Macaca mulatta: one gene and its partners. The protein of the gene in region 3 purifies or fractionates together with the protein of the main gene of each other region. This does not show direct contact. Links are inferred from orthologs where the notes say so. Each region holds a gene or a part of one and is shown on either strand. Other genes may lie near its edges.

Evidence for each region. Proteins that work in one complex are often made in the same cells at the same time.
Region 1: the proteins of IKBKB (region 3) and RIPK1 fractionate together in Homo sapiens (co-fractionation; 3 studies listed by BioGRID, with this or other methods). This does not show direct contact. The link is inferred for Macaca mulatta from reciprocal best matches to the Homo sapiens genes IKBKB and RIPK1.
Region 2: the proteins of IKBKB (region 3) and BTRC purify together in Homo sapiens (affinity purification with western blotting; 3 studies listed by BioGRID). This does not show direct contact. The link is inferred for Macaca mulatta from reciprocal best matches to the Homo sapiens genes IKBKB and BTRC.

Annotation. Positions count from the first base shown.
Region 1 is NC_133409.1:180,151,694-180,154,739, forward strand, and holds the end of RIPK1 (receptor-interacting serine/threonine-protein kinase 1), read right to left. Parts: intron 1,481-3,046; coding exon 1,194-1,480; 3' UTR 501-1,193; downstream 1-500. UniProt on the Homo sapiens protein: Serine-threonine kinase which is a key regulator of TNF-mediated apoptosis, necroptosis and inflammatory pathways.
Region 2 is NC_133414.1:113,608,823-113,612,322, reverse strand, and holds part of BTRC (F-box/WD repeat-containing protein 1A), read right to left. Parts: intron 3,213-3,500; coding exon 3,102-3,212; intron 1,442-3,101; coding exon 1,363-1,441; intron 703-1,362; exon of another isoform or gene 1-702. UniProt on the Homo sapiens protein: Substrate recognition component of a SCF (SKP1-CUL1-F-box protein) E3 ubiquitin-protein ligase complex which mediates the ubiquitination and subsequent proteasomal degradation of target proteins. Recognizes and binds to phosphorylated target proteins.
Region 3 is NC_133413.1:44,370,593-44,374,664, reverse strand, and holds the start of IKBKB (inhibitor of nuclear factor kappa-B kinase subunit beta), read right to left. Parts: upstream 2,801-4,072; 5' UTR 2,637-2,800; coding exon 2,608-2,636; intron 2,404-2,607; coding exon 2,286-2,403; intron 1-2,285.

The DNA of each region.
Region 1 (3,046 bases), on a different chromosome or scaffold from region 3:
AAGCACACGGCCTTCCCTGTCTGTTTAGCAAAACGCCAGTGGAGACGCTGAGCGGCCCACCCAGCTTCAGTCTTCTGAACTATTCTAGTTCCTTCATCCACCCCCAGGTTTCAGGTGGACTCTGAAAGGTTGGGTGCTACAGGCACAATTCCCACAGTCAGGAGTTGTCCTTTTTCACTCTGGCACACAGAAAAATATGAAAATACTTTCACGGTACAGAGCAAACCGAGGAAGCCACTCAACAGTGTCAGCCCTGAGGTTCTGCTCTCACCCAGGCGTACAGATCAGCATTTCCTGTTCCCTCTCCAGGGCACCCAGGCTGGGTGAAAGTACCAGAATGCCAGGAAGTAACTTTCAAAGTCAATCAAGAATTTCTGCTGTAGTCACAGTTAGTAGCATTTCCTTGCAACAACTGTCTGGGAGATCTGATGTTTCCCCCCTCCTTGGTACCCCTTTAAATCTGTTCGGTTAATTTGAAAACTGAATATAAACTCAATTAATTTTTAAAAAATCGATAATTTAATGGAGTGAAGACTGCATGTGATTCTTAGAGCCTATAGTGACTGATACAGTATTTGATAGCCATGTTAACAGACTCTGTAACGTGGCAATGAGCTGCAGTTGTGATTCAAAAAGTCTCTGAACAGGGCTTAGAATTTTACTGTACTTTGTTCATAACAGGAGCCTACGTGAAGAAGAGAGCACACAATTTTAAAAGTTGATTTTATGTTCTCTGAGTTTTTCTTCTTGCTTCAGCAAAATTCTAGGAAATGCCATAAGCTGAAAGCAAATGACCTTCCTCAGACATCTCTTCTCTCCCTTTCCAAACCCAATTAGGAGTCATTTTTTGATTGGTGCTAGGCCATTAAGAGGTCTTCCTGCTTACGCTTTCCTCGGAGCGGATTGTTGCCTGGGCGCAGTGGCTCATGCCTGATATCCCAGCACTGTGAGAGGCCGAGGCAGGAGGATAACTTGAGTCCAGAAGTTTGAGACCAGCGTGGGCAACAGAGTGAGACCCCTTTGCTGCAGACTTCTTTCCCCATTCCCCAGCTATGAAATACAGGAAACAATATTTCTGCAGACACAGAACCCCCATCAGTGAGGACAGAATTCTGAATGCTCTGAGGCAGCCAGCTTTCTGGGGTTATTCACTAAGTGAGGAGTCCGCTTCAGCTGCCATAGCCCATCCAGGGTTAGTTCTGGCTGACGTAAATCAAGTGGTTCAGAAGGTCGATCCTGGCACACTGGTGGAGCACCTGGGCCAGCTTCCCCACTGTGGCTCCCTTAATGCCTTCCCTCATCACCCACTTTTGGAGCATCTGGTAAACCTTTTCTTTTAGTCCATCTCGCTCATAGTCATGGTCAATTTCATCAATCTGAGACTGTGTGAAGCCCAGTTTCCGGGCACAGTTTTTCCAGTGCTTTCCCAGATTTTCCCTGATTGGGTCCAGGTGTTTATCGGTCAGACTAGTGGTATTATCTGCCAAATGGGAAAGAGAAGAAGGTGTCAAGCTAAAGCCCATTCAAACATTCCAGCTTCCTGAACTGCTAAAAAACCCAAGTGAAATGAAGAGTACCAGAAGACAGGGAAAAGATAACTTCTTAGTTCTACAGCTGTTGCTGCACTGGAGACACTTCACATGCCTGCTAGCCCACAAGCAGTCTTTATGTGAATTACAATAGGGCATTCCTGGCCTGGCGTGGTGGCTCATGCCTATAACCCAACACTTTGGGAGGCCAAGGCAGGAAGATCACTTGAACCCAAGAGTTCTAGACCAGCCCTGGGCAACATAGCAAGACCCTGTCTCTATAAAAAAAAATTTTTTTTTTTAATTAGCTGGGTATGGTGGCACATGCCTGTACTCAGTTACTCCTCAGTTACTCAGGAGGCTGAGACAGGAGGATCACTTGAACCCAGGAGTTCAAGGCTGCAGTGAGCCATGATTGTGCCACAGTACTTCAGCCTGGACCATAGAGCAGGATGTGGTCTCAAAAACAAAACAAATAAAAAAGAATAAGGCATTCCTTCCTCCCAGTAGACACATCCCTGAACCACAGCTGATGGCTCTGTGAACAAAACCCCTATGTGGCTACCAGGTTGGGTGTTCTATTCAATCTTAGCCCGTGACCCTGTTGGTATTAGACGTTCCTGGATGTAAAGGGAAAAACCACCATTTTTGTTCCTTTTAGACATTTTCCACTTACATCTGGCCAGAGTGAAAGCCACGCAACTCCTGACCACCACCCCCGCCCAACAGTTCACTTTCCTCTTACTTAATCAAGGAATTGTCCAGCAGGTGTGAACCCATTCAGTTACAATGCCTTCTTTGTCTTTCAAGACAAAGGTAACTACTCTTCAAGGTCTGTTTCTGGACCCTTCCCCTCCTTTACTCCACCCCGCCGCCAACTGACATTGCCTCTTCTCAAATAGCCATAACCTCTCTCCTTCTACTGGTTCTTTCCCTTAGCCCTTCGTAAAAATAATAAAAGGAAACAAAAATGTAAAACAACCACAAAAAAATTCCTTAATCCCCACACGACCTCATTAAACAGAACATAAGGAAGAAAATATTTCATTTTTCCTTTCAACCTCCCTTCTTTCCTCAGCCCTCCATAATGTGGCTTGTATTGCCACCAGTCGATTGTCAGCAGTCCAAGAACTTCCCAACATACTTTCCAAATTTTGTCAATATTTCTGTAGGGGGTAGATCCCGCGTTTCATTAGATTCTCACAGGTGCCCTTGACCATTCAGAATTTCTGTTCTAGGTATTTTAAAAGCAAACTATGGCCTGTGGGCCACATCTGGCTCCCTGCCAGTGTTTGTAAATAAACTTTTATTGGAACACAGCCGTGCTCATTCACGTGTGTATTGTCTGTGGTTGCTTTTGCACTACAATAAGAGAGTTGAGTAGTTCCAAGAGAGACCTCAAAGACAGCAGGGCCTAACATTTCCTACTGGTTCCTTTACAGAAAAAAAAAAAAAAAAATAGCCAATCCCATGGTTAATTAGAAAGCTGGGTTCTTAATCAAGTTGTTTTGGCCTCA
Region 2 (3,500 bases), on a different chromosome or scaffold from region 3:
GCTCACACTTGTAATCTCAGCACTTTGGGAGGCTAAGGCAGGAGGATCGCTTGAGGCCAGGAGTTTAAGACCAGCCTGGGCAACATAGTGAGACCCTGTCTCCACAAAAATTAAAACGGTGCTGTGGCTAGAGCCTGTAATGCCAGCTATACTCGAGGGCTAAGGCAGGGGTACTGCTTCAGTCCAGGAGTTGGAGGTTGCAGTGAGCTATGATTGTGCCACTTCACTATAGCCTGGGTGACAGAGGAAGACCCTGTCTTATACATACACACATAAATCCAACAAGGAAGACAAGAAATATAACCTCTTTCTCTTCTCCAGAGCCAAGAATGCCTAAATGTTGACAGTCAGGATTTAGTACACTGGGTTTCAAATGCTTGCTCTCATCTTTTCTCTGAGTGCTGCAAAAGATTCTGTCCACCCTGTTGCTCCAACTAATTTTCTAATGGAAGCAGTATTTATCAATCTGGGCCCCTGGCTAACAACATGATAAAGAATTTAGTGCTTCTGAAAGTGATATTTCTCCTTCTGAATCACTTTTTTCCCCAAATGTCAAAAGTGGATATATGGGGAATAAAAAAGATGGGTTCAAGTTGCTGGAGGCACTAGCTCATGAATAGGCTGCAGAACTAAGGGGCTGACCAGCAGGGGTTCATGCAGATTCCCAGAGCACTTTTTTTTTTTTTTTAAGATCGAGTTTCACTCTTGTTGCCCAGGCTGGAGTGCAAGCGTGATCTCGGCTCACTGCAACCTCTGCCTCTCAGGTTCAAGCGATTCTCTTGCTTCAGCCTCCCGAGTAGCTGGGATTACAGGCGCTCACCACCATGCTCAGCTAATTTGTTTTTATTTTCAGTAGAGATAGGGTTTCACCATGTTGGTCAAGCTGGTCTTGAACTCCTGACCTCAGGTGATCCATCCGCTTTGACCTCCCAAAGTGCTGGGATAATAGGCATGAGCCACCGCACCCAGCCCCCAGGGTAATTTTTGAAGGCACAGGTGTACAGGTCCTCAGATTTTGGACAGGTTCCAATTTGAGTAATTATATTCTCTCTCCCTTAGTACCCCCTGCTGTTTCTGGTGGATACAGAATTCTTATTCACTTCCTGCACTAAACTGTTGTGTAGAGTTTCTGTGCAGCTGTTAAACAGCTGCCACATTTCTCTCCATATATAGTCTCTAAAGCATTTTTGGATGAAAGGAATTATATAAACATATTTTATTGTCATGTACTGGTTGCCTTACCACTTAGTTGTAGGTTTTGTGAGGTTGTAACTATTAAATTCAAATCCATATTCCACAGCACATCAATGTTTAATTTCTTCCCCCACCTGCTCTCCAATGCTCTAACAGCAAGGCTCTTACCACAAGGGTCCGTAGACAGAGTGTCCCTGCAGGAGCACGGGGGTCCAAAGCAGCCACAAGATCCCACACTTTAATTTTTCTAAAGATCAAAAAGGGGACAAAAATGCTAGTTAAAAGCAAAAGTAAGAGAACACAGGGAAGAACAGCAGAAATTCATGGCAATAAATATGGATGGTGAGTATAGTTGAAATGTACGTGATTAACCTACAAATGAGAAACAGGCTAGCTTTAACCAAACTGAAGACATTTAATAGTAAAGTTAAACCACACTTTGGGATCAAGAGGAGATCTTGTACATTAGACCTCCTAATGATATTACATAGACCTAGAAATCTACAACTCTGAGGCATCCTCTTCCTGGTCACTTCTAAGAGTGGCCCAGGTCACATGTACTGAGGGACTGGGGTCCATGTAAGAGCAATGGAGTTTATATAAGTAAGCCCTCATCTTTTGATTTAAATAAGTGTAGCTCTTCCAACAACCTTTTATAGGCCATGTTTCCTCAAGGTACATAACAGACAAATTCCAAGACAGGTGGGTACAGATCAAAGCCAGGGCAATAAGAAAATATTGTCTTGACCAAGCTGGAACATGTCACCACACTCTGAACAATTTCCCAAGGTTGTAACAGTGATGGCTGACCCAAAGCAGAAGAAGTGAGCAGCTTCTTGCTGCTTGCATTGGCTAATTAATGTATCAGTATAGTTAGCTCATGAACTAAAATAATGTTGTTAGTTTCTGATATTTAAAAAGTTGCCAATATTTGAACTGTAGCTTTCTACCCTTCACCCCCCAAATCAGGCAGTTTGACAAAAAGAAATGATAAGGAGTCCTTCGTAAGTGAATAACTTTTTTTTTTTTTTTTTTTTTTTTGGAGATGGAGTCTTGCTCTGTCGCCCAGGCTGGAGCATGGTGGTGCAATCTTGGCTCACTGCAACCTCTGCCTCCCTGGTTCAAGCAATTCTCCTGCCTCAGTCTCCTGAGTAGCTGAGATTACAGGCACCTGCAACCACACCTGGCTAATTTTTGTACTTTTAGTAGATACTGGGTTTTGCCATGTTGGCCAGGCTGGTCTTGAACTCCTGACCTCAAGTATCCGCCTGTCTCGGTCTCCCAAAGTGTTGGGATTACATGCACAAGCCACTGTGCCCAGCCTACTTTTGTTTGAATTTACTCTGTGTTTAGGATTGGTGGACGTGGGGTCCATTCACAACATTAATGGATTCCATAACCACTAGAAATTAGAAGAAAATAAAGATGACTAAACTCATAAATGAAATGCTAGGATGACAAGTGATGACAAGAGAACTGTACTTTTAAAAATTACTAAAAGAGATAAAGAATCCAAGAGATCAAAATTGGAGATCTTACCACACTAAGTCCCCAAATACTGCCCTCTAGTGTTTGTGTTTTGTTAACAGGTTACCACTTTACATGGGTAGCCTGTTAACACTGGGTTTTTCTTGTTTTGCTTTACAGGGCAAAACAGTGAAATACATAACCAAATAACCAAAATATGAATGACAACCATGTGCAAACAAGTATAATAAAATGATTGGAAAGAATATTTCAGGACACTAAACCAAGGAGAGGTAAATATACAGATTAAAGAAATATGGTATCACTTTGTGTAAAATCTATAAGCTTTAGAAACAAGGAATGGTAATGTTTAACACCATAAACATAAGGAAGGATTAAGACGTAGATTTTCTCTTTTTACACTCTGTTAGCACACTCACCCATCATAGGCCCCACTGACTATCCTCTTGTTATCAAATCGAATACAACGAACCAATTCCTCATGGCCTTCTAACACTCGTAAACATGCACCACATTCTATGTCCCATAATCTGGAAGAGAAAATTGAGTCAAGTGAATTTTCACGTATTCTTTTCTAAGCCTGGAATGTTATAATACACTTTATATGCCTTCTAAAAATTCACAAAATAAAATCAATCACCACCCACACAGATATGTACTGCTTTCAATGTAATTTATTTCCTTTCTGCTATATAACTCACACAGAAAAATGTAGGTTTAAGTTCAAACATAAAATGTATTTTCAAAGCACAGTGCTTTATATAATTCTGTAAACAGGTTCTTCCAGGTATAAAAACGAACTCAATGCACACAGTTGC
Region 3 (4,072 bases):
GCCTGCCTCTCCTTGCCCACGGATGTATTATAGATTTGAACTTTTTAGAGGGAACAAAGGAAACAACAGACAACAAGACAGTGGGCAACAGTGTCCTCCCCTAACCCCACTGGGTGACAGCAAGGATAGGGGTTCCTTAGGATGCGAGTCCTTCCTGCCTCCCCCTCAATCATCCTGCAACCCACGCCAGGTCAGTCATGTTAAACTTTCCATCTCTTCTTCTCTGGCTCATTGGCTCTTTGCCACCTAAAAGACCAAGTCTAAAAGCCTCTGCCTCACTTCAGAGCCCTCTGTAATCTGGCCACATCCCACCTACTTCCAGGCTGCCCTCTGGGAAGTCTCCACTTGACTACAACATGGCTTTATCTCTACACAGCTGCAGTCAGTAATGGGTGACTGTCAAAGGTTAGAAAAATAAGGAAAAAATCAAAGTGCTGTCAAGTTCCCCCATCTCTCACTGTGGGTCATGCCAAGGGCTGTGTTCATATCCTGCTGTGAGTGCCACTCCCAGGACATGCCTATCTCCAGGGAGAGCCACTCTGGCAGGCCAAGCCCACGGCAAGTTTCCTTTTATTTTATTTATCTGTCTATTTCTTCTGAGACAGGATTATCTTTTTTCATGAGACTGAGTCTTGCTCTGTCGCCTAGGCTGGCATGCAGTGGCGCAATCATAGCTCCCTGTAGCCTCAACCTCCCAGGCTCAAGCCATCCTCCCAGTCCAGCCTCCGAAATAGTGGGGACTACAAGCGCACACTACCACACCTGGCTAATTTTTCGTTTTTTATTTTTTGAGGAGATAGGGCCTTGGTATGTTGCCCAGGCTGGTCTCAAACTCCTGGCCTCAAGCTATCCTCCTGTCTCAGCTTCCCAAAGTGGAAAGCTTTTGTTTTTTTTTTAAGAGGCACAAGGGCCTGGAGGAACAGTAAGAGTAGCACCTGAAGTGTGTCTGGGAATAGCCACTGAAAGGGAATAAACGCCTGGGCTCCCACCCTCACTATTGTGACCCTTCCAAAGTAAAGAGGTGCACTCGCAGAGTAACCGACCTCGTTTTCAATTAAAATAAAAATTTTTTTGGCTGGGCGCAGTGGCTCACACCTGTAATCCCAGCACTTTGGGAGGCTGAGGTGGGTGATCATTTGAGGTCAGGAGTTCGAGACCAGCCTGGCTGGTATGGCGAAACCCTGCCTCTACCAAAAATACAAAAGTTAGCTGGGCATGGGGGCGGGCACCTATAATCCCAGCTACTCGGGAGGCTGAGGCAGGAGAATCGCTTGGACCCAGGAGGCGGAGGCTGCAGTGAGTCGAGATCACGCCACTGCACTCCAGCCTGGGCAATAGAGCGAGACTCTGTCTCAAAAAAAAAATATATTTTGTTCAGAGCTTCCAGTTATCATGTTATATGGCCTTATTCAGTCTTAGAGATGGAGAGGTGGCCTGCGGCTAGGTCTGTGTGGACTGGGACCCAGTCTCTGTTGCTACAGCTGTGTGAGGCCCAACCTCTCTGGGCTGTGATATCCACCCGTGATGTGGGAACCATACCTGTGCACTCATGTGTGAGCTGTTGGAAATCGAATGAGGTAACATGTACTAGCAGGCTATGTGGTACTATCATAGGGAACAACGGGGAGGAGGGCACCCAACTGCCCCTGAGACCAGAAGGGGCTGCCATCCACCCACCAGAAGTGAACACTCTAGGGAACAGGAGGTGGTGTGGTGAGAAGGTGGAGAGCAGAGCCCCACAGATGAGTCCAGGTGGGTCAGGTGGGTTGGGTGGGTCGGATGGGTTGGGGCAGGTCTGCAGCCCTGGCCCAGCTCTCTGATCATGAATCCCACTCCCTCTCTTCTATGCTCCCTGCCCCCATGTGTGGTGCTGTCCCATCTCTGGAATAAGATCCCTCCTAATAAGGAGAGCAGTGGCGCTGGCACCAAAGGCCTAACGTGGCCCTAACACGCCCAGGGAGGAAGCATTTGTTTTGGAACTTGCCCAGTCCTTCCCCACGCCCAAACCTGTGATGAGTTTTCCTTGTCATTGGAATAATCCCAGCAGAGTGTGCAGCACGCCCTTCCCCCTTCCCTGGTGTTCTCGGAAGTGCCTCTGACTTACACACACACCAGCCCCAGGTGGGCAGGGAACAGAGGATCTGAGAGGCAAAGCAGCCCTGCTGGAGTTGCTGGGGGTCCCCAAGCTTCCTGATGATGACAGAAGTGAAAGGTCTTCCCATCCCCCTTCCTGGTGTCCCACCTGCCCAGACAGGCTGTATGCCTGGCAGCCGCGGGAGCCTCACCTTCCGGAGATCTCCTCCTTGGCAATACTCCATGGCCAGCAGGGGCAAGTCATTGGGCGCCAAGTTCTGCATCCCCTCAGGGACATCTCGGGCTGCCACCACATTGGGGTGCGTCAGCCTAGGAAGGAGGAAAACCGATGAGAGCAGAGCCAGACTCCTGCCCAGACCCATCCCTATCACCCCCATCAGGTCTCAGCAACAAAGGCCCAGGATAACCCAGGGCTTCGAAACAGAGGAAGACAGAGCCCAGTACGGGTGGCCAACTGCAATGCCCCGGTCAGTGGCGTGCACCCAGCCCCACCCGCAGCACCAGAACTCAGACCCTGAGGGCACACTCCGTGTAACTTCCATTTTCTGTGCGTGCTACATCCCAAGTCCTCATCGTGCTGCCAAACTGCTCCTTTGAAGACCTTCCAATCTCATGCCCTCCACATGGGGGGGATGTGTCACACATGCAAGCAGGCAAACAAGGTGGTGCCTGCTCTTTTTGTTCTCGTATTTTTTTTCTTTTCTCTGTTTATTTTTCGGCAGGTTGATTCACCCACACACATCACCCCAAGGTGGACACACAGAGAGGGATCTGAGAAGGAACTCATGTGTAACCAGATAGAACCATGATGTAACCAAATGGCACTTCCTCTTTTTAAGAGGCTGGCAGAGGAGCCCCTGCTTGGTGTCCTCCTCGCTGGCTCTTTCGGAGCCCACCTCACTAGCTAGGGGGTCAGCAGCCACCGGGCAGATGGACGGCCCAGTCTCCACACTAGAGGAATAAATGTCAGCGGCAGCATGACAGCAGAGAACGGTCATGTACCACCTTGGAACTGGAAATACAGGAGGAAAGAAGGCTTTTTTTTTGCTGACAAAGGAAAAGTCACTGTGATAACTGTGTTAACTTATTTAATATAATGAAACTGATGAAAAGTCCCCGACAAGGCCCAGTGTGGACTTTAGCTGCTCTTCCTCTGGCATCTTTAGAAGCAGCAGAGTCACCGTGGAGACTGTCGGGCTGGCGCCCTGATGGAGGGGCAGAGATTTAAGACTCTCCTCTTCTTTTTTTTTTTTTTTTTAAATTAGACGGAGTCTCGCTCTGTCGCCCAGGCTGGGGTGCAGTGGCGCGATCCTGGCTCACTGCAAGCTCCGCCTCCCGGGTTCACATCATTCTCCTGCCTCAGCCACCCAAGTAGCTGAGACTACAGGCACCCACTACCAAGCCTGGCTAATTTTTGGTATTTTTAGTAGAGATGGGGTTTCATTGTGTTAGCCAGGATGGTCTCAATCTCCTTACCTCGTGATCCACCTGCCTCAGCCTCCCAAAGTGCTGGGATTACAGGCGTGAGCCACCGTGCCCAGCAAGACTCTCCTTTCTAGACACACGGGGGGCTGCTGCTCCAGCTTTCCCTTGGGGTGCACAAGGCCCTCACCTTCTCATGATCTGGATCTCCAGGCACCACCGCTCTCGATTCCGGGGGCTGAGCTCCTGCCGGCACTGCTTGATGGCAATCTGCTCACCTGTTTCCTACAGAAACAGCACAGTGGGGACCAGCAGAGCGAGCTGCAGGCCAAATCCCACCCTGTCTGCTGCATGGGAGGGATCTCCAGTCCTCAGGTGTCACCTGCAATCACCTCCTGGTGCTCCGAGGTCACATGTACACACCGATCGACAGCCACATAGCACCTGCCCTTCGGGCTGTCTCCTTACCACCCCACCTCTCACCCAACTGCTCCAGCCTCATTTCTTTTTCTTTTTTTTGAGATAGAGCCTTGCTCTGTCGCCCAGGCTGAAGTGT